Linked DNA regions of Lytechinus pictus. The protein of the gene in region 1 interacts with the protein of each later gene in a pairwise test. Links are inferred from orthologs where the notes say so. Each region holds a gene or a part of one and is shown in the gene's direction. Other genes may lie near its edges.

Region 1 (16,851 bases):
TATTTCTACATTAATTATTGTGTTTACACTTGATACAAATAATCATTCGGTCATCTCGGGGTCAAAAGATCATGTTGCACACTTAATTGATCGCAAAATCAGGCGAGACTCTTGGTTCATTAACCACCTTGTGTGGACTAGACTTTCAAATATAGGTTTAAGAGAGCAGTAACTTGGCAGGTCCTCAAAAAGTATCATTTTTCATCCAAGTGATATTCATGGCTAGAAAGGTTGCTGCTCTAAATATATATATTTAATTTAATGATTTTGGTGTCATTTCATTGTAAAGAAAAATCATTCTTTCAGGTCATGTGTTGAATTTATTTAAAGATTTTGTAATGTAGGTGCAACTTATGATCTAAAACAGGCTAGTAAATAATTATTTTTACCTAACAAAAGTTATTCTTTTAACACTTTATTTTTGTTTGAGCCCACAATGATTTTTATATCATGATAAAGCTGAACATGTATGTTTTTAAATGATATATGTTTCAAAATAAGAATTGGTTATAATTGGTCAAGATCATACTTTCATTGGCCAAGGACAAAGCAGCTTGAAAATGAGAATACTGCACTCTGATTGGTCAAAGAGACCACACACCCACCCAATTTCCAACAGTTTCCATGCTGGACACCTCCAATGTCACACTCCCCAGGGGCTGCGGAAGTGGGGGGCTTCAGCCCCCTCCCCCCCACTTTTTTCCAAAACTGTGTACAAGATCGTAAAAATTACCATTAGTAGACTTGTTAAGAGGTTGAACGCTGCATTTTTTAGTACAAATGTCCCACTTGGCACAAATGTTCCTTGAGTCAAAAGAAAAAGATTCATCCAAAGAGACACGCTGTATCTATGCAAATAAGCAAGTAATTTGCATAAATTTGCATATTATGTCGATATAGTAAAAACAAGTATTTCAGAATATATATTTAACCAGAACTGCCCTAAAATTGGAAATAAAGACTTAGGGTAAGAAAGGGAAGAAAATTGTCATAAAATAATTGGGATATCCTTGTTTATTATTACCTAATTTACATAAATTATGCAAATTATAATTTAAAACAGAGTATTTTTTCATGAATCCTGAACTGCATTTTAAAAAAAGCAACTAATACACAATGTCAACATTCTACATGAAAGAGAATATATTAGCGAAAACATCGATATGCTTTATGACAGTATTAGTGTCTTAATTTGCTTAGAAAGAGGGCAAATATGTCAAAATGTATGACGTGATATTGCGCTAAAACGAGACCAAAACAACCTCTATGTCACAGTCACACCATGGACCTATCGGACAATAAAGCGATCAATGGTATGTCATTCGAGATAACAAAATCTCAACACAATAGCTTCCATCGGCTTCTCGTATCGCTTTTGTTGGTGTGTCTGCCACACCGTAATCTATGATACATACGTACAAAATGCATTTCGGTATCGGTAAAACACTATTAATTTTGTTTTATTTGTTTCTAATTTGTTTCTCTTGGAAAATTTACAGGAGACATTGCTTTGCAGGTTACTGCTTTAATGAAACTCTGGCACATGAATCATGACGAATGTATCCTACCTCAATCCATATTTAAACTTTATTAAAATATATATCTTTTTGGAGACCCCGAGGTGGCAAAACTGCATCCCCGCGGCATTCCCGCCACAAAACCAGTTTGACTTGTATAATCGACTTGGAAAAGAAAATATGAGACATCAGTCAACATGTTTCCTGAAGAAAGTTTTTTTTTGTTTATTTAAGCCTACGCCCACGGGAGCCCTCCGAATTTACCCCATCCCCTCTCCGTATTTCGACTTTAAATAAAAAAATATCGTGTTTTAAAACCATCGGCAAGGCAAATTGCGTTTTTTGGTATAATAAAGCAACTATTATATCTATATTTTTATATTCTTTGCATTCTCCTCTTGAAAAAAAAAACATAGAAGGCATTGTTTTATATCTCTTAAAATAAGTTCGTGTACGTGACAGTGGCCTGTCGAAGTTGCCCAACCGTTTATTTGGTTTCGACAATATATATTTAGAATATCGTCTAAATGAAACCCTCATCTGGAAAAGGGCACTTATTAAATGCAGCATCTACATTATATAGAGGAAGCCCTGGCACTGGGAAGAGGGGGCTGAAGCTTGTTAAATTTCTTCGGACCAAAATTTTACATTGAAACTTTTTTGCTTTTCAAATTAACATCAAGAAATTTAACAAGCAAATAAACAAAATGGATTGCACTACAAAATGAAGGGGTTTTTTTGGTAACATTTCTTTTTTTCGTTTTGTCACATCTGCCGGAATTCGAGGGGGTGCTGTCTATGGAGAATAACACACGCAGCACAGCCCCCCCCCCCCCCCTTCAGAAAAATCTTGCGGGTGCTTCAGCCCCCGCTTCCAAGTACCAGGGCATCCTCTATATAATGTAGATGCTGCCTTTAATAAGTGCCCTTTTCCAGATGAGGGCTTCATTTAGACGATATTCTAAATATATATTGTCAAAACAAAATAAAGGGTTGGGCAACTTCGACAGGCCACCGTCATGTACACGAACTTATTTTATGCGATATAAAACAATGCCTTCTATGTTTTTTTTTTCAAGAGGAGAAAGTAAAGAGGCTTTACTGTGTGTAGTAGAAATGTATCTTTCTTCCGAATGGACTCTAAAAATATTTAAATTTAATATAGAGTGGAATCAATAAAGGGGTATTTTAGAGCTTACGTGTGGCTTTTCTTCAATGTATCACAGCTCTTCTACATGTCAATTGTAGAGTATTTTCACCTCAATCTATTCCAAGATATGAGTTCTAAAGACAATAAATTATTTTTGAATACATAAAACCAAAAGGGGAAAGGATATCCTAGGCATGCTCCTGTTGGGTTATAGCCTTTACTGTGCTAGAGCATTATTACAAACTGCAAAACAACAACAACAATGATAATAATAACAATAATAATAATAATAATATTAATGATAATAATAATATTAATATAGATAAATATGAAATATAGATATAAAAGTTGCTTTATTATACCAAAAACGCAATTTGCCTTGCCGGTGGCTTTAAAACACGATATTTTTTATTTATTTAGTGTCGAAATACATAGAGGGGATGGGGTAAATTCGGAGGGCTCCCATGGACGTAGGCTTAAATAAAAAAAAAACTATCTTCTGGAAACATGTTAACTGATGTCTCATACATCTGTCTTTTCCAAGTCGATAATACAACTCAAACTGGTTTTGTAAAGTAGCGGGAATGCCGCGGGGAATGCAGTTTTGCCACTTTGGGGTCTCAAAAAGATATATATTTTAACAAAGTTAAAATATGGATTGAGGTGGGGTACATTCGTCATGATTCATGTGCCAGAGCTTCATTAAAGCAGTAACCTGCAAAGCAATGTATCCTGTAAATTTTCCAAGAGAAACAAATTAGAAACAAATAAAACAAAATTAATAGTGTTTTACCGATACCGAAATGCATTTTGCCCGTATATACCATAGATTACGGTGTGGCAGACACACCAACAAAAGCGATACGAGAAGCCGATGGAAGCTATTGTGTTGAGATTTTGTTATCTCGAATGACATACCATTGATCGCTTTATTGTCCGATTCGTGAGTGTGACTGTGACATAGAGGTTGTTTTGGTCTCGTTTTAGCGCAATATCACGTCATACATTTTGACATATTTGCCCTCTTTCTAAGCAAATTAAGACACTAATACTGTCATGAAGCATATCGATGTTTTCGCTAATATATTCTCTTTCATGTAGAATGTTGACATTGTGTATTAATTGCTGTTATTTAGAAAACAGTTCAGGATTCATGAAAAAATACTTTGTTTTAAATTATAATTTGCATAATTTTATGTAAATTAGGTAATAATAAACAAGGATATCCCAATTATTTTATGACAATTTTCTTCCCTTTCTTACCCTAAGTCTTTATTTCCAATTTTAGGGCAGTTCTGGTTAAAAATATATTCTGAAATACTTGTTTTTACTATATCGACATAATATGCAAATTTATGCAAATTACTTGCTTATTTGCATAGATACAGCGTGTCTCTTTGGATGAATCCTTTTCTTTTGACTCAAGGAACATTTGTGCCAAGTGGGACATTTGTACTAAAAAATGCAGCGTTCACCCCTTTTTTTGCAGTTAACAAGTCTACTACATATGATTGTGATATTTTGGTCAGCCCCCCCCCCTCACTTTGAAAACCATTCCGTGGCCCCTGCGTCCCCATGCGGTAATCTCTTCAAATTACCTGCACCTGCTAGCTGTTTTGAAACCCTATCCAGCTAACCAGGACTCTGGATTTTAGGCTACTCCAAAATGTTATTAATCTGGTCTTGTACTTTGGTGGGAAAAGTGTGATCTAGACCCAATTAAAAGTTGCCACATATCAAGAGTGACATTGTGAGAAAGTACAGAATTCCAGCTTCTGATAATATAGATATTATTAACTTAAGACTCAAAATAAAAGGTTTTGCATGATTTGCAAAAGAAAACAGGGGAAGAAAATTCATGCCTGAAATTCACTATTTATCAAAATAGTCAATACAAAATAAATGACTAATATGAAAGAGGAACATTTACTCTGTCCAATGGTGCAATGATGTTTAATTTGACTTGATTATACATTTTTAGAGAAAAAAAATCTGATTCACAAGATTTTGCAGATGCAGCCATGAAAAAAAATTGGATAAATCTAGCATATTTGCTCATTAGCAGGGGCGTACATAAGGGGGGAAGGGGGGCTCTTCCCCCCCCCCAAAAAAAAAAAAAAAAAAAAGTTGTGACCAAGAAAAAAAAAGAGAAAAGGAAACGGAGAAGAGTAAAATATTTTATTTTCTGAATGTGAACATCTATCACAAAATGGATTTGTGTCATAAAAATGCTGAAATTTTTGCTCGCTCATATTTTCAGAATGCACATGTTGCACTTATTGAAATCATTTGACAATAAATACTATCGTGTATAGACAAGGGAGAAAATGGAAAAAAGAGGGGGTAATAAGGTGAAATATGATAGTTTTCAATAGTCAAAATCTATCCCAGAATCATATTTTATATCATAAAAAAGGTCACAAATTTTGCCCATTCACTTCTCTCCCTTGCATATATTTTTCACAAATTCCCGAATCTGGCCCCATTGATAATTTTGGCTCAATACACCACATAAAGTCATAAGTTGTAACTAAAGCCAAATATTTTGTTACCTTCAAAATAGTTTTATGTCAGCCCTCCCTCTGCGTCTCTAACCCTTCCTCTCTCGGACCTCGATCCTCTTATACCCTACAAAACTCCGTTAACCTCTTGCTTTTCTACTCACTCTTTTTTCTCTGAAATTGATAATCCTTATATATATATTTAGTATGTACAAAAGTCAAATTCAACAAAAATCATGAAAATACGATACAATGATTCCAGAAACAAAACATTTATGAAAGAGCATGCTTATATATTATGCTTATCGAATAGCAATAAAATAAAAATGACAATAAAATAAAAATGCAGGTGTCCATGCAATGATATCGAAGTACAGATTTCTCCGCTGTAAGTTTTTTTTTAGTGTTTTGGGTGATTTATTTTTCTCCTCCCCATTTATATCTCTGGAAATAAGCTTCTGAGCTTTCGTGGGTTATCCTGTTCAAGCATACTATTTGATGGATAAAATCAATTACTTTAGGATGACTTGGGAAATGAAATTAATCAATCAATAATATAAGTAAATCAATCAATCAAGTTATCAATCAATCAATAAACCGATCAATCAAACAATCAACCAACAAATCAATGATCTATCTATATACCTATCTAATTATCTATCTATATATCTATATCTATCTATCATTCTATCTATCTATTATTATTTCTAGCATCTTCTTCCTTGTATTCTTCATTTCTTCTCATATCTCAGTTGACTCTTGCTACTACTGTTTTTGTTCTACATGCAGTTCTCTTCTACGAAACGATTTTTAAAGTGGACACCCCTAGTAATTAATTCATCCTAGAAATTGTCGATAATGTTACCATGGTAACTTTCTTTTTCGCACGCAGCGATGATGAGCTGAAAATTCGGAGGCACCCCACATCAAGGACTATGTAATCAGGCGTTCGTAAAACATGTACTTCCACTTTTGGTGACGGCCTATCACAATATTGTTTTTCAATGACTATTGTCTGTTGCAAAGGTTGCTTCAGTCGTATAAGATAATAAGGAAATTCACAAAAGTACCCCAAAAAATTATGAGCAAATGAGGATTATAATGAGTCGAGATTTGTTTAATGAGAACTCAGGCTCACTGGTGAGAGGTGAGATTAGAATGGAAAAAAAGATGGGACCATGATCGGGAATAAGGGGGCCTTTTTAATATATATCATGGGCCACCACAGACAATGTTTGATAAACACATCCAAAACCGAAAAAAATAGTACAGAAATCGAAATTAAAAGGAAAATAATGCAGAAAGGGGTAATATTTACATGAATGATCTTTGAAATCATATTCAGAGATGAGACAACATTGAAATTCTGGGAATAATTCCATTCACAATAAAATATTTATAAAATTTGATTTAAATTTTAATAATACAGGAAGGGACACAGCCGGCCCGTGTGCCCCTTCCCCTTGAGAGCCATAATAAAAACTTGTAATGTATACCGCTTTTAGTGTGCCCCCCCCCCCTGAATGCTGTCCTAAATGTTTTATTAAAGGCATTTTGTGATCAGTAACTCATTATAACCATACTCTCGTGATGCAGCTGATAAAAACTTTGCAATAAGGCCTAACAGTGGAATTTGTCATGGCCATTCCGTAAAGGGGCGGAGTGACCGCTCGAGAAAATCTTTTGTTTTTAAAATGCATAATGGGTCAATTTAAACACTTTTTAATTGAAATGAACCCATTCATTAACATCGCAATATTAATCTTTTTAAAGGATGTTTTATTGTATTCTCTCAAATCAAAATACACATTCACATTCCATAAGCAAGTTGTACAAATTATTTGAAACATGATTATAAATTATGCAATAAATCCATAACCCATAGAATTATAAAAATTATACATCAAACTTCAAAGATACCGGAAATTAATACTGATGCGTTTCAGCAATTACAAAATGAAATATTAAATGACAAGAGAGGAAAAAATATATAAAAAGGTGATGTTCTACCTCCCACCCCCGCCCCCCCCCCCCCCCCACGTCCCCAGGTATAGGAGCACCCTCCCCTTTATGCCTACTCTACATGGAAGGGATTCCAATCCTCCGTATTGTTCTCGTTTTTTCTGTGTTTTTGTTTATTTATTTTTTGTTTTGTGGTCTTGTCTGTCGCTGTATATATACCTCGATCGATCCGCCTCACTCTCCCTATATATTCCTTTAATTTAGATTTTCCCATTTCCTTAAATGTAGAGACATCTTGCCTCTACCTATAACGCCACTGATTCTGATGATCGATTAACAAAATATCTCTTGGGCAAGGGGGGGGGGGCATAATTTCCCCCCTGGCCACGCAGTTCCGCCGCTGATGGCCTATATCCCTATATCACCAGCAGCAGCAGCAGCCTATCATCACCACTATCATCATCATCATCACCACCACCACCACCACTTCACAGGGCTCCCAACTCCCACTCATTGAGAGTGAGACTCACTCATTTTGGTCCTCTCTCACTTAAAGGGATGGTCCGGGCTGAAAATATTTATATCTTAAAACATAGAGTAGAATTCACTAAGCAAAATGCTGAAAATTTCATCAAAATTGGATAACAAATAAAAAAGTTATTGAAGTTTAAAGTTTAGCAATATTTTGTGAAAACAGTCATCATGAATATTCATTAGGTGGGCTGATGATGTCACATCTCCACTTTCCGTTTTCTTATGTTATTACATAAAATCATATTTTTTTCATTATTTCATACTCGTGTGAATAATATGTCTCCCTTATAATGAAATAAATTGCAGCAATAAATATTTAGTGCACTAAATCAGTTGTCAATCCAAAATTTCTAGTTCTTGGGAGAAAAAAAATTGAATAAACCTAATTTCATATAATAAAATACAAAAGAACAAGTGGGGATGTGACATCATCAGCCCACCTAATGAATATTCATGACAACTGTTTTCACAAAATATTGCTAAACTTTAAAATTCAATAACTTTGTCATTTGTTATCCGATCTTGATAAAATTCTCGGCAATTTGCTCTGTAAATTCTACTCCATTTATTAAGCTATAAATACTTCCAGCCCGGACCATCCCTTTAACTCAAAAGTTTTGTTTCATTTGCACGCGCATTTCTATCGATCTCACTATTTTGACCGACCTAAATCATGCCATTGTATGTTACACTCTCAACTCGCCCAGTGTTGGTACCGCTGTCATTATATGTATATTTCTATATAATAGCCCCGATGTCATGTTACCAAAGTGCAAGCCTAATGATCTTGTTCAATCGGCTTCTTTTAATTCCCCTCAGTCTTATGCAATTTTTGCACTGCCATCCGCTGGCCTTTTACCAGGGTACCCGCGGTGAGCTCATTTAGGCCTATATTTCTACATAATTATTTATACTTCTCTCTCATTAGGCTTATCTTACTTTTGAATTGACCCCATTTAATTTAGGTTATTGATTAAAGCCAATATTCTGTTTTATTACGTTTTCAAAACATCGTTTATTTTGTGAATTTTCGGCCTATAATACAAACTGATGAGGCACAGGGGTAATTTGTTGCACCTTATCAATTTTTGTTGTTGGAATTACGGGGAAAGTTATTTGGTGATCACGTGCACCCCGCTTTTATTATTATTCATTTATTTATTTATTTATTTTGGGGGTCAATGCTAGAAATTGTCATTCACAAAGGTAAGTACATGTAAAAAAGTTTTCACTACAAAATGGAAGTAAAATTGGTCTGGAGAAAAATTTGAAAAGCAAAAAAATAAAGTTTCACTACAAAATGAAAGTCATATTGGTTACATTATTCCATTTTTACACATCTATGGAGAATACTACACACAGCACCTCAAGGAAATTTTGTTGTGCTTTCACCCCCAGCACCCCCGCTTCCAAGGGTCATCCCCCCCCCCCCCCCAAGCTGATTCCTATACAGGTATGCCGTCTTCAAATTCCAAAGTGATCGGCTGGCGGATACCACTGTATTGTACCACTGATTTTCAGTTCAGTGTATTGTACACATCCGGCTTCTTTATTGCCCTCAATCCTCATCGCCTCCAATCAAAAGCGTCTCGTCTCCATAACTGCGATATCGCTAGGAACGCTCAGGATCTCCTGTGCGTGTCACCGGCAACGCAACCGGCCGGCCCGGTCGATCGAGCTTTTACACTCGACTCGTGAGGATTTGACTCGAGACCAGTGCGGTGACTTGGAAGCCAACTCTATCGAAGGAAGGAAATATTTATTTGCGTGGTAAGTAGCTCTCAAATCATAATAATTTAAATGTAAATGAGTTTCGCATTAGTTTCATGTCAAATTGTATTGCTTTAGAATCCGGATATCTCGACTTTTCGAGTATAAGGATAAAATTTATAGCAGAATACTTTGGTCTCGAATCAATATCAGCTCAGTGCAGTGTCGAGTGTGTGCGACAGTGCAGTTTTGTCTTGGTAGGATAGGATGGGGGGTTGGGTGTCCGGACACTATATTTTTGAAGCCTTCTTTTTTGTCTTTGGATTACCCTAAAAATATGAATTCAATAGTTGTAATCATCTTCTATTTTGTTCTCTATAATATTTCCTACATTTTGTACTAAAAATTGATGAAACTTCGCCTGTGATTTTTTTTCAAATGACTTCCTAAAATTGATCGTCCGGACACACAACCTGTCCGGACACACAAAAACTGGGTATACTGTCTGTATGGGGATTCGTCTGTATAGCCGCCTCAATTCTTGAGGCCGGGTTGGCGATCAGCTCTCAATAGATTGCACTGTCTGGAAATGGAAAGATGCCCATATTTTAAAAGAAAACCTTGAAAGTATTTTGATGTATACTTATAGTGCATGTATGTCTGATATCTGTATCGGTGGAATTTATTTGTCATCCTTGGAAGTTGGAATACTTTTAGCCTTTAGGCACATGATTTTTATACTTGTAATTTATTGCATTTGGCCCAGTGTTTCCACTTTTCCTGAAATTCAGGAAATTTTGACTTTTTCTAGGAAAGGTTTGGGAAATGAAAAAATTCTGGGAAATCCAAAAATTACAATTCACAATAATTAAACGTAGCAACTTTTAATATTCATGTAGCTCAAAATTTTCTGCTCGCGCTCCGCGCTCACATTTCATAATTTTTTTCCTATTTTAAAAGAGGGCGTACACAAAAAAAATGTACCTTGACTTTGATTTCCTTGATTTTGGTCACTTAGACCAAATTTAGGCTTGCTTTATTATTGCCCTACTTGTATTTTTGTTAAAAATCAATCTTGAAACTTCAAGGAAATGTCTATGAATTTGGGGAAATTTGGCATTCAGTTTCTGGAAATTTGTTTTGGATCTGTGGAAACACTGATTTGGATTCAGTCCGTCTTTTTGACCCAATTCGTTCTTAAATGTACCGTATGTTTAGCTAGCTACCATTTACTCTTCCAGACCAAGTGAATAGGCCTATAAGTCAATTTTTTTATCCTTAAATTCTGTTGAATTACCGGGGTAAGTTTTTTTTTACGGAATAAAAGGTATTGATTCATAATTCTAAAAAATAAATTGAATCAAGCAAGTTTGAAAGTGGGATGCAAACCCATATGTACTACATGTATGCCTTTTCATCAGTAGGCCTTCAGTGAAGAAATCTGACCCGACAATGTTATCGCCATGATTGATGACACATTTGTGGACTCTATATCCTTGGTAGCTAGGCTTGGTACTGTAGGACTTGCAAATTTGAGGATTACTACTGGGCATGTCAGCCAACAAAATTTAGTTTATTATATCTATAGGTCTACATGTATAAAAACCTAATAGCCAGTGCATATACATGTAGGATGATCGTGTTCATCTTTCTTGAGTTGCAGATTCTTGTGTCCAGCTTTCTGTCTGCATTATTTCCTATTCTTGATTTTTCTTGTAGATGGTGTGTTCGTGATGATGATCATACATGTATTGGTAACAAACGTACCGAGTATGACTTGATATCTTCAAAGTGCATGTCAGGCTTCAATAAGTGTTGATTAAGAAATCCATCAGATCCTCACCATGTATCATCATACTAGTCCCAGAGTAAGTACTTCATTTCCTTGTAATTACTTTTTCTCTTTTAAGCATCATATCACCAATATACAGGGATGTAAACTATATGAATAATCATGAAGTGATTGATATGTGGATATTTATTTTCATATGGATCAAAGTTACTTCTCTGATGAATTAATTTGATACATGCTGTATAGATATAGTAAAAAAGACAAACCAATAAAAGCTTATCCGGCATGTTGTTAAAGATTGAATTATAAGTCCCTATTACTATTATTTTGTCTATTAAAGTGGAACAGATGAGAAGAGAGAGATGCTGTAGATTATTGGTTGTTTGATCAATATAATTTTTTTTCGATGTTTTCATAGATATTGAAGCACTCTTGCGATAGTTTCAAATGCCTGCTTTTAGGTTAATTTCCCAGTAATTACTAATTTTCTGTCAAAAATATTATAGAAATTATGATTTTTAAAGAAATGCTCTCAAAAAAGAATTTGGCCCCGATTTACAAATGTGAATAAACTTTTACCTAGATGGAAGCAGAATTTCATGTTTAAAGTGCACTTGATTCTGCTCTTTGAAAGGTCAGATAATGCATGCATTCCTTTGATAATGGGTGCTAAATTTTATGTCCATTGACGATGGTTTGTCCTAGAGATGATTAATATTATTGTAAAGTGTTTTTTTTTAACTGTAAGTTTATGAAATGATATATTGATGGCTTTAAACTTACCGACACTCCCTCCCCCATTTTTTGGTTAGCTGTGCATTCATGTATTTAAAATATCTCCCTTGGATATTAAAATTTTTGGACTTTGTGTTTTTAATGGACAGAACACCATTTTGAATGAACAAAATCATTTAAAATGTATGAAATTTTGTGTCTTATTATCTAAAAATGTGAAACAATTACTTAACCCTAGCAATAGGTGTAAATTTGCCCAAAATGCTAATTATTGGAGCTTTTCAAGTGTGGGTAATTATCAAACAATACACACCCCACTGAACCCAGAATAAAGCTAACAGATATTTTCAAATTCTGGCGTTTGTTCTCATTTTGTTAAATTTGTTGGAATTCATTATATGAGAGCTGCATGTACATGTAACCTCACAGAAACTTCATGATACGTAACCGCTAACTAGTCGCTAGCTTGCAGCGAGCTAGCTAGTGTTAGCTTAATAACTTGGTAATAGGCATGCAGAGAAAAGTGTTATTTTAGCGAGCATGTACTGTTTCTATCTTGCAATCGAATGTTAAGCTATACTAGCTAGTACTTGCATGAAGTGAAAGAATTTTACTGACTATATGAGAGAAAGTTGTAAATATAATTTTGTACAAAATAAATATTCATAGTGGGTTTGAAGTTTTGAACTAGATACATACACCAGCTTTTATACTTTTGGCAATCAATATTTCTTTTCAAGGCTAATAAGCGGCATTTGCACGCCATAGATTATAGATACAATGAGAAAATCAATGTACAAGTGACAATATTGATTTCTGTTCGTCGTCTATATATATTACGTCATGTAACACTTTGATTGTTTATTCAAACTTATTGTGTTTATATCTTGATTTACTTGCACTTTATTACCCAGCCTTAAAAAAGTTGCTTCTTAGTTTAATTTTAAACATTTACTTCAGCTCTTGAGCACTGCAGAAAATAGGCCTGTAAAAATTAAATTTGGCAATTTTTAGGTAAAGTTGTGACTTGTTATATTTTGATCTGCATTGTATAGTATTCAAAGTTCACACTAATTGTTGTATTATGGGTAGTTGGGTACTATCAATTACTTAGAATCATGAATTTTGATTTTAAATCAAATCACTTGGGATTTATTTTATGGATTATGATATATGTGCATAATGTGAGTTATGGATCAAAGGTTCACTGGAAGTATAGGCCTACATGTATAGTAAAACATCTGAGCCAACTTTTAGAAATGATGTCATTCTCTTTTAACGATTCTTTGATTGCAGTTTTGATTAGTTTTACATTTGAAAAAGAACAAATTTTGTCACTTGAAAATTATGTAAATTAACATAATTTGATTTTTATAAAGACCAATTTTCTCAAATTATGATATCTTTGGAAAATGATCTTCACTTGGTGAATAATTTGACAACTGGCACCCCATAAAGTGTGGTTTTAAAGGAAACCAAAAACCCCAAAAGAGAAGCAATCTTATTGGAAAGAGTAAAATGAGAGGAGCAATTAAAAAAAAAGTTTCATCAAAATTGGTTATGAAATAAGCAAGTTATGGACGTTTAAAAAGTTTTGTGGTAATTTCTTTCTATGGAGATCCTCAAATTGGCAAACGTGCTTCAAAATGGCTGATTTTGTGGACAACTCTCCATTTGATTTGTACACAAATTATCAGATTTTCCCCTTTATTTTACATATTTCACATTATCTCTTCCTGACCTAGAAATATGTGGTGTGAATTATATTTTCCCATGGCATATGTTGTGCTCAGAAGGAGGCAAGACGCAATTAGAATGATAATGAGGAAAATCTGAAAATTTGTGTACAAAACAAAAGGAGAGTTGTTCTGAAACATGTTTGCCAATTTGAGGATCCCCATAGAAAGTACAACAAGAGTTTTCAAACTCCCATATTAAACTTGCTTATTTCATTACTGATTTTGATGAAACTTTTTAAATTGTTCCGCTCATTTTACTCTTTCCAATAAGATTGCTTCACTTCTTGGGTTTTGGTTTCCTTTTAAAAAGGGGAAGACTGACAAAAAGTGTATTGTATCAAAAGCAGAAAAAGTAGTAAAAATATATTGGTGAAGGTTTGAGGAAAATCCACCAAAGGTTTAAAAAAGTTATACGAATTTTAATTTTCTGATTTGTGACATTATATGCGTGCAGCTTTCCCATGTATATCGATGTAAAAAATTGTACCTTTAGTATATCAACAGACAAATATTATAATTTTTATTACGGCAGCTGCTCATATATGATGTCACAAATCCAAAACTTCAAATTCCTATAATAATTTTCTTAATCTTTGATGGATTTTTCCTCAATCCTTCAACAATATAATTATTTTTAATGGTGTTTTTACAAGAAATTTTTCTTCAGGGTGAACTATCCCCTTAATGCAACCTGTATGATAATACCACCCCTATTGTTTTATAGGTCTTTCCATCAACTTCCCTTGTGAAACCATGGAGGCAAGTACTTGTAGAAGTTCTGCCTCCATGATGAAACTATGCTATGGAAAACTTATATTTATTAATCCCATCATGCCTATATAAGAAATTAAGAAGCAGATTGTAGTCCATGTTTGTTTAAGGGTCGTTTAATCTCTTGAGATTGGGCATGGTTGCTTAGCAACCACACAATAATGAAATGAAGTGTGATGTCTGACACTGTCTGTATTGAAACAGCTGACGCTTGCTTTGTTTAAGAGAAGCAATCCAGATTTAATTTCAAACTGCCATTGTTGTGACTTTGTGAGTCAAATTTCCCTGTTAGGTAGAAATGAGCTAGACTTACATGTATGTACAGATGTAATTTCAGAATATTCCCGCCTAGGAGCATCATGGTGTAGATATAATTTTAAAATCAGTAAAAGTTTATTTTTCTATCAGTTTGACCGAGGAAGTATCACTTCATCTTCCTCCTTGGTTTTGACTGCATATTACTGCATTGTCTTTTTTATCATATAATTGTAATTAATCTACATGTACACTGTAGTCTTCTTAGATTAAATGATCACACTCAGAAGTGCACAATTCTATTTGTTATTTTTCAGATGGCCAGTTTCTTTATTTCAAAGAAATTAGCTATAAGGATAAATTTGCAAAGAAAGGGGTGATAATAATCCATTAGATTCATACAGTGCACATACACTGTAGGTGCTTCAAAAAGAGAAAATAGGCCTACATTACAATTTGAGAAAAAGAGGTACAAAAGAAATTAATCAGATTTTCATTGGTCAGATTTTGTTCAGTATTTCACTCATTAATACCTACCCATACAGTTATGTAGTAGGCCTGCATGTATTAGCTATTGATTTCATATATGTGTACTTTATTCATGTTTATTTTGTTCTTTAAAAAAATGAACAAAATAAACATAAATTTTGAACCTATGGATTTCATAAAATTTATGGATAAATAATCAGTTGATACATTGTTTTGAATTAAGAAATAATTACAAATGATATTAAAAGGGAATTAGTTAATCTATTAAAAAAGACAATATATGAAAGGTTTCATAATTTAGCACTCTTTTATCCTTGATAAGTACACTTATTTATTGTCTTGAAGATCAGTGCTTCGATCTAACTTAGGATATGAAACTATGGAATAAGAAATATTCTCCACTCTCCAGACTCAACAAGCATTGATTGCTGCATTTCAAAGGCCATCCTTATCAAAAGAAATGACACCTGCACAAAGGTCAATATCTTTATATAAAACCAAGCAATCAAGGACCCTACAATGTAGACTGTATAAAGCAGGAATTCAGAGTGCTTGTTCAAATCTATGTGTTAAATATCAAAAGTCATTATAACAGGTGTTTGTATTCAGGAGCTTCCAGCTGCATCTTTTAAAGATGAAAATTGTATTTTGGTTAACTTATAGATGCTGGCTGCTTTATGAAATGCCAGTATTTGAAATACTGGATTTTTACTATGACAGGTCTGCTCTATGGATTTTAGAATTTTCATTTCAAGAAAGTCACAGAATGACATCACTTCGTTTGTTTGAGGTTGTAGAAACATGGTTTTACGACTTCTGGCCTTTTGGCCAATTAAAAAAATGATTGATTGATTCATAATGAAACTCGATATGGACGGATCTCAATTATTTATTAGAGGGATATGAATTTCAATTGTTAGTAATCTCCATTGATTTTGATTTTGATCAAATACACATGTGTGACCACGGATAGTGTGACACATTGATCATTGCAATTATTTACATTCTTTGACTGCCTAGAATAATGAAGATGAGACTCTATATGCATGAGAGTAAAATGAAATACCTTTAAAGGACAAGTCCACTTTGATTTGAATAAAAAGAGAAAAATCAAACAAGCATAACACTGAAAATTTCATCAAAATCGGATGTAAAGTAAGAAAGTTATATGCCTTTTTAAACTTTCGCTTAATTTCATATGCACATCCTGGTTGGTATGAAAATGAGGGGACTGATGACATTCACTTACTATTTATTTTGTATTTCATTACATGAAATATGAAATATTCAAATTTTCTCCTCATTGTCCTGTAAAACAAAGTTTTATTCCTCCCTGAACATGTGGCATTACCATTGTTAGATTTATTTTATAGTTCAATTATTGGTCCTCAATGTCAAATTGGTACAAATTGAAATATTGTATAATTCAAACAATAAAAGACATAAGAAATAGTGAGTACACTGTAATTGATATCATCTACTCTCTCATTTGCATCTCACTGAGTTGTGCTTATTACTGTTTTGTGGAAAATAAGTGAAACTTTAAAATGACATAACTCTCTTATTTTACATCATTTATTGGATTTCACCAGATATATCACCTTTTCTATTGTGCCCTTTTAAATCATGCTATTACATACTGGCCTATATTACAAGTACATGTACTGTAACACACCAAGTATCTCCTGATCAAGAT
Region 2 (17,321 bases), on another chromosome or scaffold:
TACCCCAATACCAGAATTAATTAACATAAATGCATAACTTCATAATATTTTCTAATTGACAAGTGCTCACATTCTGATTCTTTATCGGTAAAATGACAATCAAACAATCAGTTTACAAAGATCTATAGGACAAACTTTACTTGATTTGTAGGACAACTTTGTGTAGTGCTTATACATGATGGGCAAAAAAAGAATTGCAATTTTAGAAAGTAGTTTCTCTGAGTATCTGTCACTAGTGTTGGAAGAAAATTGAAAGCTTGCTTACATCATCAGAAGTTGATGTACATGGATGATTGGATTCATTATCAGTCTTAGGTGTGCCTTTACCGCCTTGATCACTAGGACGTTCTCCAAGAACAGTTCGAAGATACTGCAAATAAATATATCAGTAAATGATTCAATCAGGTACAGGTATTAAAGAATGCCATAGTTGGTTAGTTCCATGTATCAAAAATTGACAGAAAAATAAATGAGGGAAAATACTCTGATGACCTTGCCATCTCCACCCTCATACAATGATTTTTTTAGACTAAAATTTTAAGATGTTAATAAATCTAAGAAAAAGCAAAGCAAAGCAAAAGACCCATAATCTAGATTACCAAGGTAAGCTCATGTGTATAAGCAGCAAAGTGGATTAATTCAGGAGCCTCAGCCCTCACAATGGACAGTTCGCCAGTCAAGAACAATGCCAAAACTAGTAGGCCTTTTTTTTGTTTGAACAGCATTCTTTTTAAAACACCCCTGTCTATAAAAGGATTGATGTTTTTATGCTGTTTTCATTGCTTGGTTTTTAAATTAGTATGAATGTACCAAATGTCTTATGAGTGCCTCCGATATAAAGGAGTTTTATTCAAATGAGATAAATCAATATTAAACTTCTTTGTTTTCCTGAAAACACTTCACATACAGGTCCAAATAAACTTAGTCCAAATGCTTTTTACAATTCACACACTTTACAAGACATTGCCACTAGGCAGCATTCATCAATGGGAAGCATGAAATATTAGTGTAAAAAGTCCAACCACCTTCCAAAGTAAATAATAAATAAATAAAATAACAGGCGTTTGCCGTTTGGTTAAAGACTAGATGATAATGAATTAAGTCTAAGTTTTTTATGATTGAATAAAAATAAAAGAGCAAAGAAAAAGACCAAAAATCTTTAGCTACCACTACCAGGTCCAGGATAAGCTAATCTGTAAATAAACTGCATTAGCAAACAAAGTGGATTAATTCAGGGGCTACAGCACTCACAATGGAAAATTGATCAGTCAAGAACAAAGTCAAAACTGATAGACTCTATTTTCAAACTTTTTGTTTTCCTATATTATGATAAACAGGACCTTGCACACGCACTGTCTGTCTCCAACACTGCCTCTAGCCTGCCCAATCCAATGGAAACATGATACCAAGAAAGAAGGTCATACAAATCATGTACCGTAGTAGCGTTAGTGTTAGCAAAATTAGCAGCCTTCGAATTTCAAAACAATAAAAAAGTAGGACTGTGACTTTCACACACATCATGGCACTGGCAGATCCAGGGGGGCACAGCTTTCCCGTGCCCCCCCCCCCCCGCCCTTTGAGAGGCACAATTAAAATTTGTAATGTAAAAACGCTATTAAAAATAACAGTATAAAACAGAATCCCCCCAAATTTTCCAATCCTCTTTTTTCCCTTGTCGTTTTTCCCACCCCCCCCCCCTTTGACAAATCCTAGATCCGCCCCTGAATCATGGCCATATACTGTCGGGGGAGAGCACAGCGCACTGAACATTCGAGGCATGCAGCAGCTAAGGCTGCGGCTGCTAGTCATGGGGAATGGCAAGTCCAAGGGAACACCACCACGGTCGTCAGAATAGATCGATGGCTGCAAAAAGTGCAAGCAAAGCGCGGTCTAGATCTAAAGAAACATACCAATTTGAATAAAGAAGTCGGGGCAGCTACATGATCTTTTCATCGTCATCAGTAACCCTTTTTTACTATCATAATTTACAAGTGAAATCAAATCACAAATAGATGTTTTATCGCGAGACATTCACATCAACAAACAAACAGCGGTCTGCATGTGCAGAGACTACGCCACAAGACGTATTTGTACACACGCAATCAAAGCAAAACTCACGTGGCCATGGCACTCACTTTTCACAAACAAGCTACAAAACATGTACTTTTTGGAATAAAGACGGGAAAAACATACCTCTTTACAACTTGCTTGAGCTGATCGCTCATCTCTTGATGATGTCGAAGGTCCCGATGAAGATGAAAATGAAAATACCGACGGAACAGCGTCTTCTTTTAGAAGAACCCGCGGTTTGGTCCCCATCAATTTTGCACGAAGATCGACTTCGTAGTCGGACTCCACAAAATGATCGCTACATATCTGGTCATTTGGAGTCCATTTGTAGCTTTTTAGCAGAAATTTCTCTACTTTCACTGCTGCTGCCCATTTCTTGAAAACGTCCGGTCTAGTTTTGGGATTGGGAAATCGGTGGAAAGATTTCCCTCCACACTTTTTTCCAGTTCTGTTGTTGCAGCCGTAGGCCTGGCAAAACACCATCTTGCTCGGTAAATTGCACACTGAACCTATAGAAATAGCGTCTGCTAGCGCGCGACGGATCTCTCCAGGCCAGCGCTCGCGATCGAAGATGTCCGTGCCATACGTCATACCTTCGCTGGGGGTCTACTAGAAATGGCGACTTGCATGAGCAGCAGACGATAATTGAAAGACCTACTTTGGGGTTCGTAATCTTTCAATAACTCCAGTTTCGCTTAACCGATTCGGATAAATTTGGTATCAAATTAATCAGAATCAAACTCTTCATTTGAAAATGATACAGAAATACCAGGGTTGGATTCCCCTTTAAGTTATTTATATTTCCCTGATAATGGAAACCATGAAACTTTCAATTTTGCTTAAAAAACAGTTTTAAATCGCGATCTATAAAACGCTAGTTCACTATACGCAAGGCTCCACATTAACTTTTTTTGGTGGTGGCCCGTTCGGGCCACCAAAATCTTTGAATAATTTTTTTTGGTGGCCCGATATTAAAGTTTGGTGGCCCGAAAAATATAAAGAAAAACATTAAAAATTAATAAATGGGTATAAATGGTTTAACCACTGTAAAAAAAATGAAAGAAAATAATAAAACAGCAAAAAAAAGTGTGAGAAAATTCCTTCCCTAAATTTGCCAAAATGTTGGAAAAATTCACATTTCATAATAATGAAATGCCTTCCCAAAGTATTTTCTTTCTCAAGAGTTGTTTAAGAAATCATTTATAAACAAGAAAGAAAGTAACTGTCTGTTTATTTTTGGCTAGAAAAGACCGGAAAAGACGCAGCTTCGAAAGAAACCAAGTAAAAACATACATACAAATGCACATGTGGGACTGTGATGTACTCACCTATGTGTTTTTATGTATATAATTTTCATTTGGAAATCGGTCTTTTTGAGTCAAAAGAGAGGTCATGATTCCTCTTTTTAATGCTTGCAAATAATCAGGATACACCAGATTTTAGCAAAAAGGTCTGTAGAAGGGCATTTCATTGGTGTAAAATGTGACTTTGACTTGGATTTTCATAGTTCTGTGGAAGATTTCTTAGCAGCAACATTTCGTATCGCAGCTCCCTGAGTCTGAGTAGGCTGCTAACGCACAGCTGCTTCAAGCATGCAAAGCTCACGCCAGCCGGCCGGCGCAGCCGGCTGGATAAAAGCTACTTAATGCTATAGCGGTAGGCCAACTTTGTGTGTGTGTTTGTGTGTAGATCAACAAAAAGGGCGCATGACGAACTGGCTTGCAATTTGAATTGTAGAAAGTTGATAAATGCGTGCAAAAGGGGGAGAAAAATTGCACTAATCTGAAAATTATTGGTTGCCCGGTTCGGGCCACCAAAACTTAATATTTTTTCATTAATGGTTGCCCGAGGTGAATTTCTGGTGGCCCCGGGCCACCGCTAATGTCGAGCCTTGCTATACGTTGGCTTACAGTGTAGGTACGGGGCCCCATCCCCTTCAGTCTATGTATGGTGAGTGGAGCCAACGTAGTTCAGCGGAACAACCAAAATACAGAGACTGAAGCTTTTGGTCTACTACTTAGCCTAACTTAGTCTTAGCTTGTTGTACGCGAGCAAATGGGAGGCTGAATGTCAAACATTCGTACCGTTGCACAAAAGACGTACCATCCAAAATGTACCGTTGCACGGCTTTAGGAGGTGACGTCACATTACGATTTAATTCATTGCGCTGGCTAAATACGCAAGGCTGCCCAATGTCATGTGCGCCTACACGGATTTTGCTTTCTGCTTTCGGTATTTTTGCTCCCTTTTCATAGATTACTATACTAGTAAGTATAGGCCTAGCCGCCTAGCCTAGGGATAAACTCGGCTTTGTTTTTTCATATTTTCGCTAAATTCCGAGGCGTTGTACAACACAAATAGCGAATAATTCTTGTTCGTGCAATGGTGCGAGATTTCGCGTTCGGTGAAAGAAAGAAACGCTCTATTCAACTCGGCTCACGCCTCGTTGAATAGAGGCTTAGACTTTATTTTAGACTTAGAGCATCTTTCTTTCACCTCATGCGAAATCTCGCACCATCGCACTCGTGCCTATTCGCTATTTGTATACCGTACCGGTACCGGTACCGTACAGATTCTCAACAAGAAATGTGGAGCTTCAACAAAAGTAATTTCTAGAGACTAGATTCTAAGGCTGGAGTACGGTGCCAATTTTCACTCTTTTTAAGTAAACTTCACTACAGTCTATTTTCTTCCAACTCACCATCCAACTTTTACTTCTGCTCCCTGTTTCCTCTTCAAAGTAAAATAAAAAATCTCCTTTGTCAAAAATCGCCCACACGCACGCTCACTTGAATCATACATGCAAACTTACGTTGCGTTATTGCGTTGCGGCAAAAACTGGCGATTACCGGCGACCAATAGTAGGAGGGTAACGGTAGCGACCGAAAAAAGATTTAATTATTTATTTTTTAATTTTCTCGAAGGTGCAGAAAGTAATGATGGGGCGCGGATCCAACAATTCCAAGGGAGGGGGGGGGGGGGGGGTGGATTACAGAAAAATTTGTGTGAAATTTTGGGGTTGATATTGCGATGGAGAATATCACTTATTGCATTTTTTCTGCGTACTATCTGCATTTTAGCCTTAGGGTCTACTTCATAACCACCATTAATTTGAAGCATGAACAAGATTATCATATTGAACCATAGAGATGTATACTATACATCTCTTTGTATTGAACCAATAATGCTATAACGCGAAGTACGAGCTGATTTTTTTTTTCTACTGATCCGAAGGGGGCAGTCATTTGAATTATTATTTAACCAATAATGCGAGCGTGAAGCCAGAGCTGAAATTTTTTGTTTCTCTTTGATCTGAATTGAAAATCATAAGGCTGCAGCACCATTTTAATTCATGAACAAGAGGCATATAATGATGCGGTGCGAAGCACGAGCTATATGATCTGAAGAAGGACAGATTTTAATTCAAGCGACATTTGAATCCAGATAAGCCTAAAGTTGTCAATGCAAGCAAAATTTATTGATATGCTGACCTGAAAACGGCAGTTTTGTATCGTGAAAAGGACTTCTTATAAAATTTATTTTCAATTATTTGGAAGCATTAATGCCACTCATATCTCCCTAAACAATATATATTATATATATTGTTACGAAATGAAAGGTTTATTTAATTCAGTATGGTTCGTGACAGTGAAGAGCGTAGAATATATTTTTAATCCCTGTAATATATATAGTTGCATATTCAGTAATCGATTGTTTGTAATCGATTATGTAGGTATTTTCTTTAAAATGTATAAAATTTACTAATTATTTTGCTGAGAAAAAACGATGTTTACAATTATATGCTCATATTATTTACTTTTAATTGCTCCTTACTGTTTGGGTATAAAAAAAGCGACAAACACCATTGCCGTTGCTGGAAAGATTTATTTTATGAATTTAACTGTTTTTTTTTTTTAATCAGGCTCTAGCTTAACAGCCTATAGCTGACAATTTGATGAGAGGCGGTAACCAAAAGTTGACCATAATCGAGCGTGGGCCTGCAATCTAAGCTATGTGGGGAAGTTACAAATTGATGCGGAGGTTCGAGGTTCGGGACCTGGTCACGTCTTTCGGATGGTGGCGTTAAAGGTCGTTCCTAACGTAAAAAATCATATCTGATTGATACACGTTTGACAAAACTCAAATACACACACACATCTTCGGTTACGAGCCATGCCATATGCTTGACAAAGAGGTTTCTGCGCGAAACTCTGCCCAATTTTCAATGGAACCTGCTGGGACAGGATGAGTTTGATTTCTTCAGTAAAGTTATAAGAGCTAGAGATGAATGCTTGCTTCTTACTTGTCGTTATTTTGTTGTATGGAGCTAGCAACAATGGTCGGAAAAGCAGAAGTATGAAAGTGTTGGAAGTACTGACTAGAAGGAGTGAGAATACTGGCTTTACTGAGATACGGAAAATACTGAGATGAGTGAGGATACTGAGAGTACTGAAATTACTGAGATACCGAAATGATTAAATTACGGAGATACTGAATACTAGAATGATTGAGATAATGGAGATACGGAATGACGGAAATGTTGAAATCCATGAGCTAAAATAATCTAAGTTACTGAGTGAGAAGGAACAATTAAAAAGAGTCAGAAGTGCAAGGCCGACGGCCCTTTACACCAACTGGTTGTACAGTGCGTCCCCCAAAAAAATATACACTTTTGAAATGGCTGCCAAATAAAAAATGTATCACTTGGGGGGGGGGGGGAGACTTATATATATGGAAAGCCAATAAAGCCAACTTTCATGCTTGAGCGAGCAGTGCCCACTGAAACAAAGGGTATGGAAATTAGGCTAGATAGGCCTGAATTAGCCTTCCAATTTCTTCCAGTTTGTTTTGTATATTGGCTTTCCCCCGAGGTGATACATTTTTTATTTGGCAGCCATTTCAAAAGTGTATAGTTTTTTGGGGGACGCACTGCATATTGCAGCCTAAACGAACCAGCTCGTCAGGAAAGAAAGTCGGTTCGGCTACAATATATAATTATATATATATATATATATATATATATATATATATATATATAATATATACAAATGTGTGAAATTATACATGTACAACAGCTTTTTTATTTAAATATTTTGTGAAAGAAATGGATGAAGAGAACAATGGTAGGCGTAGCTTAAATCAAGGTTCCCCAGAGCTATCTACCCTTTGGAAAAATTGGCAATGCCTTAAAAAGGTCTCTGCCGGGAATCAAACCCGGGCCCCCAGCTTTGACGCCGGTGCCTTAACCACTAGACCACAGAGACGGGTTAGTGGCTAGGGCGACCCCGATCCGATTGACCGTCAGATAGACAGATTTTCGACACTATATATATATATATATATATATACTGTATATATATATACAAGTACAATGCATTACCACTTTGCCTCATTAATATCTTCTATGTCCAACACGCGGAACGTAATATCGTCATATATATATATATATACGGCATTTACTAAACCATTACAATTATCTTATTCCATGTGCCGAAGCAGTCTATTTCTATTTTACTCAGGTACTTTTTACTGTTAAACCTCGACTGTTGGCGGCGAGGCCTTTTCATTTTCCTGTTTTGGAGGCAGAGAAACGCCTTTGTCATCTTGCAGTCATGGCAACGTGTGTTTAGATGCGTCTTTTACAGTGCGCTTCCTCCATCTTCAGCGCATTGATTTCTTTGAAAGGTCACGTATAGTTTCACAGTCCGTATGCCCATGAACAGATGTGTTTTTCACGATTTGTTTCAGAAACGGATTTTAAATTCTCTTTTTGTCACATCATGGGCACTCATGCATGCATGGGCGGAAATCCCAGGGGGGGGGGTGCAGGGGGACGGGGGGAGGGGCGTCGACAAAAATAGTAGAGGGACACAATATAAAATGCCCCCTACTATTTATGATATTTTATGAGTGAGAAAAATTCATCATTTACAATAAAAATAATGCATGTATTTTGGACTAAATGACCTTACATTTCTTGGTGAAAACCTTTTTTTTGCTTGTCAAATTTTTTTTTGGGGTTATAATGACTTTACATTTTGGGTGATAACCTTTTCTTTTTTTTGTCTGTACCTTTTGGGACAGATTTCTGAGAGCTATACGCTCCTTTCAAAATCTATGATTAATATATATATATATATATATATATATATATATATATATATATATATATATCAACTTCATAATCTCCGTTTTATATATATATATATATATATATATATATATATATATATATATATATATATATATATATATATATATAACGATATTACATTCCGCGTGTTGGACATAGATGATATTAATGAGGCAAAGTGGTAATGTATTGTACTTAGTTCCAACAGTTTATTTTGAATTCCAAATTTTCGACGTTAAACATACGTCTTCTTCAGGGATCCAATAAAGCTCACAGCGAAAAGAACTAAAATAATAACATTCATGATTGTGGTAGTCATGGAACCGCGCACAAAACAGCATCACCATCATAATATAATTAAAAAAACATATACATTTATAGTTTTCTTTGTATTACAAGGATCATTGAATGCATTATCCCACTTGTTTTGTGATGTAATTTCAACCTCTATGATTGCATTTTACGTAAGATTGTAATTTTCAAATTTCTAGGCACTTTTGCATGTCATAGTCTACCCACGTGATGCCGGCCACTACGTCATTAAGAAAGAAGTTATGTTATAGAGGTTGTTTTACCTGACTGCTAAGAAAGCACGAATGCCTGTGAGCAAGCAACCAGGGGACCAACGGCTTAAGGTCCTCTCCGAGGGACCTGGTAATGAGGATAAGTGCGGGGATAAGTGCCTTACCAAAGGGCACTAGCGCACCACTTGGGAATCGAACCCGGGTCACCAGAATCCGAAACCCCCGCTCTACCGACCGTCTGAGCTATCGCGCCTCCCTTAAATGACAGGTTCGGAGGTGTCAAAAATATTTAGTGAGGTTGTTGTACCCGATCTTGGTAAAGAGGGCTTCGTGAAACGGTTAGCGGACAAGTAGCTCACTATCTCTGATTTAGTCAAGAAGTTAGACTTATATGACGGTGTTGAGAAACGGGCCCCTGGCGGCCCGCCTTTACTTTCCCTTATCAACCGGGGGATCAACAACTTTAATTTTAAGTGTAAAGAAAAACAACAAAATTTAGCAAGGCAACAAAACAAAACATGTAGGCAGAATGTACTGACTTAATTTGCCTAGAAAAAATCAACATTTATAATACCCACAAAAAAGAAAGAAATTTGTTTATTTTATTTTATTTTTTAATCTGCTAGCTTCATTGCTTGCGCGTGCTTATTAGTCGCCAGGCGCTAGCCAGAGAGAGCTCGGCTAGCTGCTGACGTGACCGCTGCTATGCTATGCTGACTATACTACTGCATGCCGTAATATATTATAAGGTCTTTGACTGCATGCATGCATGCTGCAACTGCTGCCGAGCGCGACATGTCGACAGCAACAGTACCGGTATATTTTATACCGGTACGGTACACGTGAATTGTGTTAATTGATATTGACATCACAATAGTATTAGTAATATATTATTATGGGGAAAACAAAGAAGAATCGACCAAAAAGAGGAGACCCTGTCTTCACGAGTGGACCACTGGCAGAGCAAATAGAAAATGAAGACACTCTCAAAGTCTCTCAACGAGTGAAGGAACGTAGACGAAAGGATGAAGAGGACTGTGTAAGGCCATTTTTTTACTCAATTAGATCTAGGCGTATCACTATCAGTCCCATACATGGGAATTCGTGTGTGTCGTGATTGAAGACAACCGAACAGTTCAATTTCAAGCCTCAAGGTTTAGTTTTTGGTTTTGAAATGTCATAATTTAGAAAGTATATGTACCAATTTCATAAAATGTAGACTTTAAGGGATACTTTGGGCTGAAAATATTTAAATCTAAATAAATAGAGTAAAATTCACAGATCAAATTCAAAATGCTTAAAATTTTATTAAAATCGGATAACAAACAGTAGAGGCGCACGACCAATATGGGAGACTCTCTCCAATAGGGGAGACAATCTCCCACATTGGAGACTTGCTTTACAAAAGGACAAAAGAAACAACACCAACAAAAGCATGATTTTTTCCACCCCAAATTTTGTCTCACTGACTGACTGAGGTCAGAAGCCCATTTGTTTTGTGTGTGATTGACAACAAAAATCCTTATCAAAAAGTAGACGGTGAAAAGGGGTAATTTTTCATGAGGAATCTGCTTATCACATTTTTATTTGCCGCCAAGGTAATCCTTTTGCAGCAAATGTAAACAAAGGAAATTGGATTCCAAAACTGGAGACTGTCTCTAAAATTGGATACCAAAATTCTTTACAAAAGTCTCTGATATTGGAGATAATCTCCCACATTGGAGATAGTCTCCAATATTGGCCGTGCGCCTCTACTGACAAACAATGTTATCCGATTTTAATAAAATTTGTTTGAAACATGACAAAGACCAAAGTCAAGATAGAGACTTAGAGAGTAAAGAAGACTAAAGTGCCCAAATATCGGACACTTAAGTATAATTGGACCAAAAATAAAATACATTCATTGAATCAAATAAAAATAATGTTTATTTCTGTAGTATAAATGTTGAATATCATAATGTATGTCATCACGCTCTAACTTTTTTAGACCCCAAAATAATTGCTTAATTGTTGATAAAATAATTTATTTTAGCTGTGCAAATGCCGATTTTAATTATTATTATTATTATCAATAATTTTGATATAGAACTCGGTAAATAATGATGATTTACTTACAGGGTTGTTTGATTTAAATCATGTCGATTTAAATCATGATTTAAATCGCGATTTAAATCACTTGATTTTTTTCAAAAAAATCACTGATTTAAATCAACTTTTATGAAAAAAATTAGTTTTCTCTATTTTCTCTTCTTCTTAACAGATACTTTCAATGTAATCATTTTCATTTCTGTTCCACATGCTTTAGAGATACTTTAAAAGAATGATACACCCTCATGGAGTCTGATTTAACACCACTGTTTTATTTTCAAATTGTAAAACAAGCAAAACTGATGAAAACAACAAGTTTCTAACGAAGTAATGATAAATAACTCTCTGTATCTACACCAAACTGTTAAATCTTCAATAAAATAATATATAAAATCTACAAAGGTGCTCAAAGTCCACAACTTGGATACTTTTACAAAACAGTTGAACTACTTGTATGTACCTCCTTGTTACTATTAATACCCATTCTTTCAAAAACCCTTTGTTTATTAGCTATTACCAGCTGTTAGTTGGGAAGTCCCCCATGTGATAGTTCTAGGAAATATTCCTAGCTAAAATCCCCCATGTGATAATTCTAGGAAATATTCCCAGCTAGAATTCCCAAGGGCAGTATAAGAACCCTAACAGGCCTTTAATAATGTCAATTTTGTTGGAAATTCTCAAGTTCTTTGAGTACTTCATGCATTGGAGTAACACTTCGGATGTTTTGAACTGACTGATATAAAAATTTCAAGAGTTTAAATGTATACATAATACATAACATTACTTGGGCTTCCATAAAATGTCCCTCTCTATAATGCAAATAAATAAAAAAAAAATAAAAAAATTACCTGTATATAAGTGGATTATTGTGTCAAATAGTACAATACACAATGTTCAAAAGACTACTTGACCACTATTATTGGTGTAAAACAGTTTAAATATAGTTTAAAACTTGTTAAGTGTGACCATTATTTTTCGTTGGAAAAAAATCAAAAAAATCTGATTTAAATCATAAAAATCAGATTTAAATAAAAAAAATCAAAAAAATCAACAACCCTGTTTACTTACCAAATGGACCTCTTTTGTTTTGGCTCCGAACATCGGATGTCTTCGCTCAGTTGCATGCAACTTCGTTCTGAAAACGAGCGCGCGCACCTCAACAGCTCGTGTTTCAAATTCAATCGGCCGATATGTTTGATTTTTAGGATCATGCCATATTTGGAAGGGTGTCAAATTTCCTGCCGTAAGGAACCCCCGCGGAGGCCATTGCAGATTTTTGGGTGATAGAGCGAACATGTGCGATCTCGGCAGCGATATAGTATCCTTAAATTAGACCCCAAACTAGCCAATCTGGAATAAAATTATTGGAAATGGTTTTTCAACTGATTTGAGTAGGTATGGGTGTCAACATTTACCAAAAAAAGTTAGGAGGAATACGGGATGGGGAAAGTGTTTTTTTTTCAAGGTCAATGACCTTTTCATATATACTGTATAGTGGTATCTCTGAGATGGAAGGGTGCAGGTTGGTGATAATGGTGTGAAAATGCACAAATTCTTACCAGAATATCAAATAAAATAAAATTTATTGCCTAGAATGCACATTCACCGATGAAATTCAAGGTCAAAGCCTTTCAAAGGTCAATGACCTTTTTTCCATTATATACCATTCCGTATAATGGTATCTCTGAGATAAGGTACAGGCTGGTGATCATGGTGTCAAAATGTACAGATTCTTACAAGAAGATCAAATAATATAAATTAAGTATCTAGAATGGACATTCACCAATAAAATTCAAGGTCAAAGCTTTTCAAAGGTCAATTATTTTTTACATTATATACCATACTGTATAATGGTATCTCTGAGATGAAAAGGCACAGGTTGGTGATTATGGTGTCAAAATGCACAGATTCCTACCAGAAGATCAAAAAGAATAAAATTAAGTACCTAAAATGCACATTGACCCATAAAATTTAAGGTCAAAGGTCAATGATCTTTTATACATTATATATCATATTATATAATGGTATCTCTAAGATAAAACGGCGCAGGTTGGTGTTCTTGGTGTCAAAATACACAGATTCTTACCTGTAGGAAGACTAAATTAAATAAAATTACCGTAAGTAACGGACTATAAACCGCACCCGTGGATTAACCGCACCCCAATCCTTCTCACATTATATTTGAGGTATGAAGAAACAAAAACTAAGTTAAAGATTTCAAAGTATCCAAAGAGATTACCGGTATGCGGAAATCTGCTGTTCTTGATCAATTCATCTACAAATGTTAGCAAGAAAGATAGGTCTCGACAATATTGGCCACTAACACACTCACTCACCTCACAGTCACAGTGTACACACACACAGCAATGCTGTTGTTGTACATCGCAAACTACAATACGGTACCACTACCAGTACATCTTATTAATTAATGATCTGTGTCTTTCCCGGCGTAGGAGGAAGAAACATTCACATTTCTTGCATCACAAACTCACAATCACTTTCATAATTTGTCTAGCATTTGATGTCTTAGAATGAATTTTTGATACGGGATTACAGGAAGGTTCAAGAAACAAAGAAATTGGCATTTTTTACAGTTGTTTTTAAGGCTTCGTGCCGTCTCTCTCGTGCGTGGTGTACATGGTATCTTATGAAAACCAAACGGGAAAGAAAAAATAAGCTGGTGCGAAACAGGACTTTGGAGGGGGATCGAGGGTTATAGCGCCAGCTTAAGTCGCACTATAACCATATACAACGCAAGCTAGCTAGCTCAGCTCACTCAACTTTCGCGCTCGCTCAGCTGTGACAAAATATTACCGAGTATGCTTGGCATCTCTTTGAAAGGGAACTTCGCTGCTTTGAACCGAGAATAAAGTCAAAATTAGTGTCATGAAGGTGGGTGCGTTTGTTATGGACAATATTTGTAATAATCGTAATAATCGCTTCTCATTACCCGCGGCTCATACCCCTCTAAACGACATTGCCCTGGGCGGCTACGCCCGGCCACTCGATGTGTTGTGAACTGGCAGACGTCTTACATGTTCGGGAAGGGTTACGGCGGGCTGGCTCAGACCCGTCACCGTGGATAAACCGCACCCCCGACTTTTGCTTCTATCCCGCCGAGAAAAAGGTGCGGTTAATAGACCGCTACTTACGGTAAGCATCGAGAATGCACATTCACCCATAAAATTCAAAGACAAATGTAAATATCCTTTGTAACATTAGATAATAATAATGGTATCTCTGAGATAAAACACCGCAGGTTGGTGATCTTGGTGCCAAAATGCAAAAACTTGTATAAGAAGATTAAACAACACCAAAATAAGTATAAAGAATAAACTTCCACCCTTGAAATCCAAGATCAGAGGATATATATACTGTATATATATATATATATATATATATATATATATACATATATATATATATATACATATATATATATATATATATATACATATATATATATATATATATATATATATATATATATATATATATATATATACATATATATATATATATATATACATATATATATATATATATATATATAGTATATATATATATGTATGTATATATATATATATATATATATATATATATATATATATATATATATATATATATATATGTTAGTATATATATGTATGTATATATACAGTGCGTCCCAGAAAAAACGAAACCGAGATTAAGCGATGATTTATCATAACTAAATCACAAATGCAATAGACAAATGACCTACCATTGTAAAGCTTAGAATCTCCTCTTTCATCTGATATTACTGAGATTATTCCTCATTCATGCATGAGTGAGCAAAAACAATTTGAAGAAAGGATACCAAAAACTAATTTGGCGAGGGGTATCTGAATTTCAAAAAGAAAATCACATGCCTAAAAAGTTCAATATCTGCTCTTTTATATGATACCTTAATCACAAAATTGGTCAAGAAGTACAAAAGTTATGTTCCCTCGAAACAACGCTTGTATTTCCATAATTTCATTAAATAAACGTGTTTTCACCGGTTTCCCACAGAAGCTATCGCATGGTTAACAAAAGACATAATGCATGGCTGATCGTCAACAAAACGGAGTGTCGAGTGACTTTGACGCTAACCTGTAAAACCTCTTCATTTTATGAAATTATTGAAATTCAAGCCTTATTTCAAATAACCAGAACTTTTTTATTTCTTGACCATTTTCGGTAATTGAGGTATCAAATTAAAGAGCAGATACTGAACTTTTCAAAAATGTGGTTTTCTTTTTGAAACCCAGATACAGCCCGCCAAATGACTTTTTGGTATCCCCTCTTCAAATTGTTTTTGCTCATTCATGCGTGAATGAGAAATAATCCAAGTAATTCCAGATGAAAGAGGAGATTCTAAGCTTTACAATGGTAGGTCATTTGTCTATTATATTTGTGATTAAGTTATGATAAATCATTGATAAATCTCGGTTTCGTTTTTTGTGGGACGCACTGTATATATATATATATATATATATATATGTATGTATATAATCTGTATGACATAAAAATAACCAATAATTTATCCTTTGTGTTCATATTTTATTTGTGAATAATGTAATTAAAGATGGCTAATTTGTAATTAAAATTTGGAGGTTTCATGATTTCAGTCTGAAATAATGAAGGTCATGGAGAATGGATTTAGGGGTCAGAGGTCAATGAACCCTTTCCAAAATATCAGTGGAAATTAAGTTAAAAAAAGTTGATAACCAAATAACACTTCTTCATATACTGCGATGCGTTGCCAAAAGCAATAAAACAATGAAATGAAGTATATAATTTGAAATATTTTTTATCTTAAGTAGCAGCATTTAATGCATAATAATATCTAAATCAAGGTTGTCATGTCTTTTCTCTCCAGCGATAGGCCACTCACCTCAATGCTATGAATAATATAAACTATTAGCTTAATCTTCTACTAGGTATCATTTTGTACAAGGATCGTGTATTTGGTCCAAAACAACTGATTGTTATGCACAAATTACCGGTAGGCATATAATAATAAAATTCAAAAGGAGATGATAGATTACAAGTACACATCCATCGACCTAACAAAACTCTTACAGCACTACTTCCAGTTCTTGAGAATCAAGCTGTGCAAGATATCAGTAATAATAGATCCTGGTCTGATATCCCTTGACAGAACATTAGGCTTTCATTGAATGTGCCAGATCAAAGTCCTGAAAATGTCAGAAGGTTTTCAAGAGTTTTATTACTCTTTGCTGAAGTTGAGAGTTGAGACACTTAACTTCATTTACTATGACAAAAGCTGCAGCTCTAATTATTGCCTTATTTCACTTCTTCATCATTGTCCCTGGCTATATGAAAATGTTCTCGGATGATGCTTGCCATAAGAGTTAGGCCTATCCTTTCCATTTACAGATTAAGTTATAGTTTTATAGTATTGATTGTAGCATTTGAGGTTAGTGACCTATTGCTACAGAGAAATTAGTACCTTGATTTAGATTTGTAAAATGCATATCTAAATGCTGCTACTTTAGACAACTTCACCATTTCAAATTATATCATACATGATTTTTTTACACTTTTGGCAATGTATTACTACAATATATATTAAAAAGTGCTATTTGATCTCAATTTCACCTTGAACTTTTATTTTGACATCATCATTGGTCAAGGATTCAACTATTAAATTTGTGTTCATTTTCCACGCAGGTCAGTCTTTTTCCCATCAGAATCACTATACCTACATGCCACAATCACGTTATATCGACCTATTTATTTAAATTCCCTGACGTTATTGATATAGTTGATTGACCTCTAACCCCTAAATATATTTTTTATGGCCATTTTTTATCCTTCAGAGTGAAATTATTAAACATCCAAGTTTTCATTACAAAAGCTATCTTTCTTTCTATATTTCACAAATAAAATGTGAATATAATGGATTAATTTCTTTTGGGGGGAATCATGCATTGATAATATAAATATTCATATATTATATGAAAATTGATCAACTTTTGACTTTTGACTTTGGATATCAAAGGTGAAGGATTATTCTTTATGATTATTTTGTGCCTTTTTATCTTATTGCAAATATTGCTTTTGACATTAAAATCACCAACATGCAGCGTTTTATCTCAGAGATACCATTATACGATATATAGCCTATGTAAAAGGTCATTGACCTTTGACCTTGAACTTTATGGATTAATATGCATTCTAGGTGATTAACTTTATCTTATTTGACCTTCCTGTAAGAATCTGTGCATTTTGACACCAAGATCACCAACCTGCGCCTTTTCATCTCAGAGATACCATTATAACGTATATGGTATATAGTATAAAAAAAGTTCATTGACCTTTGAAAGGCTTTGACCTTGAATGTTATTGTTTAATGTGCATTCTGGGTACTTAATTTTATTTCATTTGATCTACCTGTAAGAACCTCTGTATTTGGACACCAGGATCACCAACCTGCGCCTTTTCATCTCAGAGATACCATTATACCGTATATGTTACAT

The links.
Region 2: the proteins of kinesin-like protein KIFC3 (region 1) and bystin-like interact in binary tests that used the Homo sapiens proteins (3 or more experiments, as listed by UniProt). The link is inferred for Lytechinus pictus from reciprocal best matches to the Homo sapiens genes KIFC3 and BYSL.

The regions. Positions count from the first base shown.
Region 1 is NC_087246.1:61,470,267-61,487,117, forward strand, and holds the start of kinesin-like protein KIFC3, read left to right. Parts: upstream 1-9,114; 5' UTR 9,115-9,434; intron 9,435-11,093; 5' UTR 11,094-11,218; coding exon 11,219-11,242; intron 11,243-16,851. UniProt on the Homo sapiens protein: Minus-end microtubule-dependent motor protein. Involved in apically targeted transport. Required for zonula adherens maintenance.
Region 2 is NC_087245.1:8,157,732-8,175,052, reverse strand, and holds the start of bystin-like, read left to right. Parts: upstream 1-9,374; 5' UTR 9,375-9,622; coding exon 9,623-9,766; intron 9,767-17,321. Other genes in the region: uncharacterized protein LOC135153137, read right to left, coding at 266-370, 4,772-4,774. UniProt on the Homo sapiens protein: Required for processing of 20S pre-rRNA precursor and biogenesis of 40S ribosomal subunits. May be required for trophinin-dependent regulation of cell adhesion during implantation of human embryos.